Sus scrofa: one gene and its partner. The protein of the gene in region 1 purifies or fractionates together with the protein of each later gene. This does not show direct contact. Links are inferred from orthologs where the notes say so. Each region holds a gene or a part of one and is shown in the gene's direction. Other genes may lie near its edges.

Evidence for each region.
Region 2: the proteins of OTUB1 (region 1) and UBE2E3 purify together in Homo sapiens (affinity purification with mass spectrometry; 3 studies listed by BioGRID and IntAct, counting the BioPlex papers as one, with this or other methods). This does not show direct contact. The link is inferred for Sus scrofa from reciprocal best matches to the Homo sapiens genes OTUB1 and UBE2E3.

The regions. Positions count from the first base shown.
Region 1 is NC_010444.4:8,088,018-8,090,427, reverse strand, and holds the end of OTUB1 (ubiquitin thioesterase OTUB1), read left to right. Parts: intron 1-729; coding exon 730-848; intron 849-1,037; coding exon 1,038-1,122; intron 1,123-1,218; coding exon 1,219-1,413; intron 1,414-1,544; coding exon 1,545-1,742; 3' UTR 1,743-1,900; downstream 1,901-2,410. UniProt on the Homo sapiens protein: Hydrolase that can specifically remove 'Lys-48'-linked conjugated ubiquitin from proteins and plays an important regulatory role at the level of protein turnover by preventing degradation.
Region 2 is NC_010457.5:86,469,595-86,473,724, forward strand, and holds the start of UBE2E3 (ubiquitin-conjugating enzyme E2 E3), read left to right. Parts: upstream 1-1,317; 5' UTR 1,318-1,901; intron 1,902-2,028; exon of another isoform or gene 2,029-2,496; intron 2,497-2,932; 5' UTR 2,933-2,957; coding exon 2,958-3,151; intron 3,152-4,130. UniProt on the Homo sapiens protein: Accepts ubiquitin from the E1 complex and catalyzes its covalent attachment to other proteins. In vitro catalyzes 'Lys-11'- and 'Lys-48'-, as well as 'Lys-63'-linked polyubiquitination.

The DNA.
Region 1 (2,410 bases):
GGTCTGAACCTGTAGGGAGGGCGGCGACCCCCTGGAACAGTGTCCCTGGAACAGTGTCTCATCCCAGGGAGGCGTGGCCTCAGACCCTCCCAGGGCCCAGAGTGAAGGCCATGGGCAGGTGTGCCGTGGGGGCTGGGGTTCTCAGGGGAAGTCTTCAGTCCAAAAGGAAGCAAGGTCAAGGTGGGTGGGGGTTTGAAGAGAACAGAAAAGGTATGAGATGGGTGTCGGGGAGAAGGGGAGGGCGCCTAGGCTGAGGGAGTGAGGCCTTGACTCCTACAGGGAGGTTCAACAGACAGAGAAGAAATTTCACTGAGTTTGGGGAGGGAACCAGAAAAGATGGAGCCAGTGCCTGAGGGTGGGCGGGGTAGAGCTTAGAAGGAGGTGAGGGAGGCTGTGTCCAGCCCCAGGCTGTGCCATGGGCACCACGCTGCCCTGGAGCTCTCCAAGTGTGAAAGGTCCTTCCCTGGAAAAGCTGCTTTGATCAAGGACTCAGTCACTTGCCCAGCCGCTGGTGACCCGTGCAACCTATGTGTCCAGAAGTCAGTTTCCTGAGGCTTTGGGGGCTCCTGGTAGCATCACCAGAGTCAGCAGCCAAGGATGGCAGGTGGCTGCTTGGAGCTTAGTTGCCACCTGCTGTAGAGCAACCTCGTCAGGGCGGTTTCCTCGGCCCGCCCTGGCTCTGGCCTGATGTTGATGGGCCCGGGTGGGGCGGGGGCTGCCTCTCCGCAGGACCTCCACAAAAAGTACTCGTACATCCGCAAGACCAGGCCTGATGGAAACTGCTTCTATCGTGCTTTCGGTTTCTCCCACTTGGAGGCGTTGCTGGATGACAGCAAGGAGCTGCAGCGGTGAGGAGGGCGGGCCCTCGAGCACAAAGAGGCGGGTGGGGCAGGGTCCTAGGAAGGGCCCGAGGGGCTCCCTCCATCCTCCTGGGGACCAGGAGGTGCGGTTCCCGTGCTGCCCGGGCCCCCACCTCTGAGCTGGCCTCTCTGCTGGCCGAGGAGCCCGCGCAGCCTCTCTTTCCCTCCCGGCTGCAGGTTCAAGGCTGTGTCTGCTAAGAGCAAAGAGGACCTGGTGTCCCAGGGCTTCACCGAATTCACAATTGAGGATTTCCACAACACGGTGAGCCTCTCGGCCGGGTGGAGGGCGGGGGGCCTGGCCGAGGCAGCATCGGCCCATCTCCTCCCTCACTTGCTCTCTGTCCCCCTTGGGCGGCAGTTCATGGACCTAATCGAGCAGGTGGAGAAGCAGACCTCAGTGGCCGACCTGCTGGCCTCCTTCAACGACCAGAGCACCTCGGACTACCTGGTGGTCTACCTGCGGCTGCTCACCTCGGGCTACCTGCAGCGCGAGAGCAAGTTCTTCGAGCACTTCATCGAGGGTGGGCGGACCGTCAAGGAGTTCTGCCAGCAGGTGCTGCCCCCTCCCCGCTCCCCAGACTCACTGGGGCCTCAGGGTGGGAGCCTCGGGGCCCGGGGGTGCACCGGGTGGCTGGGGGTGCGGAGGCGCCAAGACCCAGGCCCTGAGCGGCCCCTGTGCTGCAGGAGGTGGAGCCCATGTGCAAGGAGAGCGACCACATCCACATCATCGCGCTGGCCCAGGCGCTCAGCGTCTCCATCCAGGTGGAGTACATGGACCGCGGCGAGGGCGGCACCACCAACCCCCACATCTTCCCCGAGGGCTCCGAGCCCAAGGTCTACCTTCTCTACCGGCCTGGACACTACGACATCCTCTACAAATAGGGCTGGCCCGGCCTGCCGCCGCCCTGCCTGCCCTCCCCTCTGCCAGGCACTAGACATGTACAGAGGTTTTTTTTGTGGTTGTAAATGGTCGTACTTCACCCCCCACGCCCTTCCCTGTCACACGACCTTCCATGTTTTATTAAAGGGGACGCTGGTGGTGAGCCGCGTGTGTGCGTGTCCCTGCTCTGCTGCTGCCCTCCTGGCTGCTCTCTGTCTGGCTGCCCCACCCCCCTCAGGTGGCTTCCTCTCAGCCTTCCACCTGTCCACCCCCAAGCCTCCCCGCCAGGAGTAGTTTTGAGGGGGCTAGGCCTCTTGGGGACCCCTCCTGGTTATTGGGCCTCTGCTTCCTTCCCTTCAGGCCTCTGCCCCTGCCCTCCTTAGCCAGCCAGGCCTTCCAGGGGAATTTGGAAGTTCCTTGGAGACTGGCCCAGAGCCCCAGGACCACCAAGGCTTCCAGCTCTGCCCTCATAGGCCACGCCTCCGCCCTGCTGCCCTGGCCTCCCCGGCCACCTGCTCTCCATCAGGGGTCTGCATGGTGGAGAGGGCTGGCCTGAGGGTGCGGCCTGGCTCAGGGTAGGCGGAGGAGCTGGGCCACCCTAGTGCACCCCAGGTGCTGCCCTCCGGGCGGGGGAGGGCTGTCCTCAAGTCTGTCCTTCCCGGAGTCTAGC
Region 2 (4,130 bases), on another chromosome or scaffold:
TCAAAATGCTTGTCTTCCCCCCCCCCCCACACACAGGGTGCCTTCTTCAACAGGAGACTTCCTGACTAGAATATCTTTCCTTCTTATCAACTTGGTGGACTTTAACATTTGCTCTCCTTTTGGACTGGTGGCTTCTAGAGCAGGGAGACCTGGCTTTAGTCACACACTAGTTGAATGAGAGAGTTTTGTGTGTCCAGCAATTAGGGCATAGTTCTCCAAAAGGTTCACCGAATGACAGTGTCTTTGGAAAATTACAGAACTGTAACTTACTCTTCAGATTTGTAAGCAGCACTTTACCAAAACTTTTCTCTCTGGAGGAAAAAAAAGTCAATATGTTGGCTCATTCAGCCTTTTTTTCCCCTTTTTCCCTTTAATTCTAGTTCATCTGTTATGACTCTGCCATTGTCATTCCTGCTCTGAACTCCACATTCTCCCAGCACCCCTGCTCCTGACATTTGTGGGAGAGGAATCCACAAATTCCTTTGGGGCTCCATCACTGGAGCAAGTTCTCAGGAGCTGGAGAAGGTCTGGGCTGCAAACAGGAAGTTTTTGTACTTCTGGTTACTTTGTGCCTGGGGCAAAAACTGCAGTCCACCTGGAGACTGCAAGAGAGAATGACAGAACAAAACTACTAACCTTCACTATCTCCACCTGAAGCTTTTTTTCTGGGTGGACATTCTGACCTAGTATCACAGATGGTTCTCTTTCCAGAACTGGCCTCTAGCATGCACCTCACTAGAACCACGCAGCAAAGCATCAGGTATAAACCCTGTTTATGACCTTCTTCACTTAAACAATCTTGAGTGGGACATTTAAAAAATTGTTTTGAATTTTTAAGTTTTCAAAGCACCCGAAGGATCACCTTCTCCTTTGGTATGCTGAGGGCCAAAGAGAAGCAAGCAGAGGCTGGTCAACTAGTCTCAAAATCTCTTTTCCTCCCTCGATGCCGAAGACCCCATGTTGCCCTTTTAGCTCACACGAGGGGCAAGAGGCAGCTTTCCTCCTCCTGCATGCCCGCCTTCGTCAACGACACCCATTAGTCTGCAGTCTTCTAGGGCAGTGGGGGACTCTCGACCACGCACCCGGGGCGCTAGTCCAGAAGTTGGGGCCCCTGGGGTCCAAGCCGGCCCCTGCACATGCAGTGGGGCTGCAGGTCAGCCCCAGGGATGATCCCGGCCCAGCGTGCGGGGTAGGTAGCCCAATGGGCAGTCTCGCTCCGGAGGCGGGCTCAGGCCGGAAGCCACCCCGCGGCACAGCGGCCCCACGAGACGGCGCCCGCGCCCCCGCCTTTTCTGGCACCCGCTCCGCGGCCAAGGGCGGCAGGGGCCAGCCCGCTGGGTCCCCGCCGCGCTCTTTGTCCGGGCCGCGCGCGGGCGGACGCGTGCGCCCCCCGGGTGAAGGGAGGCGCGGAAAGAGCGCGCGGGAGCGCGCGAGAAAGGCTCGCGCCCGCCGGCGGCGCGTGCCCCTTCGCCAGGCAAGCAGTGAGCGAGCACGCGCGCCGCCGCCGCGCCCGCCCCTCCCCCGCGCTCGCCTCGGAACTTGCTGACTGCGCGGCCGGGAGGAGCCGAGCCGGGAGGCGGCGGCGGGAGGCCACAGCGCGCGGGGGTCTCCCGCGTCCCCTCCGCCTCGCCGGGAGCTCGCGCCCTCGCCCAGCCGAGCTCCCACCCCCCCTTTTTTCCGAAGGCGCTGGGCGGCGCCACCCTCCGGCCGGAGCCCGGCACTGCACAACCCCCTCCGACTTTCAATGTTCCACACTCCCCGGCCAGAGCCTCCTCGGCTTCTTTTTTTCCCTCCCCCCCTTTCCCCCCCCCAGCTGCCTCCATTTCCTTAAGGAAGGGTTTTTTTCTCTCTCCCTCCCCCACACCGTAGCGGCGCGCGAGCGGGCCGGGCGGGCGGCCGAGGTAAGGCGGCGGGGCCGGGGGGCCGCGTGGGGGCGGCCGGGGCGGCGGCGGCGGTGGGGGAGGGGGCGGGGGCGGGCAGCTTTGTTCGCGCCGGGCGCCCGCGCCGCCGGTGTCCGCGAGCCGCGGCGGGGCCGGCCGGGCTGCTCGCATCACTTGGCGCCCGGCGCGGCGAGCGCTGCCCGCGGCCCCCGCGCGGCCCTCCCCACAAAGGGCCGCGGAGCTGCGTGGCCGCGCCGCCGGCCGCGGCTCGCCTCCGCGGGCGCGGAAATTTGTTGCACTTCTTGGGGCTTTGTTTGTTTGTTTGTTTTTCCTCTGATTTTTTTTTTCGTTATTTTGGACAAAATGTCGGTCCGTGATGTAAAAATTGAGCGAGGAACCTTGATGGCATGGGGAGCTTTGCAGAAGGTGCAGTTTGAATTTTGCTTTTCCCAGGGTGGCAGCTCGGTCTTGGCCGGATGAATCTTCCCTGCTGGCCGTGGAAACGGCTAGAGCAGCTTGTTAGTTGATTTTTTAAATTCCTAAGTGTTGTATTTAAAGGCTTACGTGCACCGAGGAGGAATCGCCACCTTAAATAAGCATATGGGCGATTAACAGGGTATGTTTTCCTCTTGGAAAGGGAATTTGGTAGCTTTGACCAATGTCAGCGTGTAAATATTTAGACGTTATTAGTGACTTTTTAACATTTTTCAGCAAGATCTGTTATTTACAGTGTGTCATATGTTATTAATGCTCGTTGCCTAAGTTCCCTGGCAAATCTGTTTCATGCCTTCTGAGAAAGTAGACAATTGATAGATTGTCCAAGGGATGGAAAAAAATGTGAGTGGGTTTTCTAACTTGAGTTCGTAAATCCCTGAACGCTGGCGTTGTAAGACCCATCACCTCCCCTGTAACCTTGCTTTACGACGAGATAAGTGTGAACACTTTTGAAGTCTTTTCATTAAAATACGATTTTAGGTGAAGATAAAGAGATGAAAATGCTGTTGGTTTATTTAATAGACTTACCTGTCCTTTCTCCCTTTTCTATTGAAAAGTTTTCCAAGAAATAACTTCACCAAGATGTCCAGTGATCGGCAAAGGTCCGATGATGAGAGCCCCAGCACCAGCAGTGGTAGTTCAGATGCGGACCAGCGAGACCCAGCCGCTCCAGAGCCAGAAGAACAAGAAGAAAGAAAACCTTCTGCCACCCAGCAGAAGAAAAACACCAAACTCTCTAGCAAAACCACTGCTAAGTTATCCACTAGTGCTAAAAGGTAATGTGTGAAAAAAAGGATTACGCATGTTGTCTGTGTTGGACACTTTTGTTGGTTTTACATCAGTAGCAATAGTTGAAAAATACTTCCTTCTTGATCAGTTTTATTTGTACTTGAATGAGTTGTCATTCTTTAGATGGTCTATAAGCCACCTCCCTAGAATTAGGCTTTTAAGCAAACTTGTTCTGTACTTTGGTAACTTCAGTGAGAGTGTCCTTGGAGAGAGATTGGATTAACCTCTGACAGATTGTTTAAGGAGTTGGCAAGGAAAATTTGGTCAACTCAAATTAACTGGTACATTGAGGATATTTCCTTTTTATGAGTCATTTTCTTCTTCATTGAAATTGACACTTCTAGAGATCAGCAGTGCCTCTCCATGAAACTTAATGATCAGAAGTAATCATGTGTGCTAGAAAATTTGTAAATTCAAGGCCTTCCTTGGCTATATTTGAAAGCAAACTTAAAAACTGTGCGCTAAGTCCACTTTCAGTTTTACAAACCTGACTTTAAGTCATATGTCCCAGGTATTACTTTTTGTAGTTAAGCTGTGGTTATATTCGTGTGTCCTTGTGAGGGCAAATAAAACTGAAAAGCAGCCATTTACATTTTAGGTGGCACTTGGTGATTGAAAACTTTGCCATAGTGCCTCTCCACTCTAAAACTTGTGGATATGCTTGACATGCTAATACTCAACAGCAGGAGAAACATATTTTGTTGCATATAAGAGAAAGATCATTTGTTTCCTGTTGATTAATATTATCTGTGATGGTGAAAAAAAGATTCTGTTAATGGGACTCCCATCAGTGGTAGTAGTTGTGGAACATCCATGAATTCTAGGAATTATACATCAGATGTTTCTACAGCCTTCAGCAGTATCGACATTTTGTTCATTTTTTTATCACAACCAAAAGAAAAAGAAAATATAAAAGCTGATCAAATGTTGGCATGCTGTAGTAATTTTCTATGAATTTTTTACTGT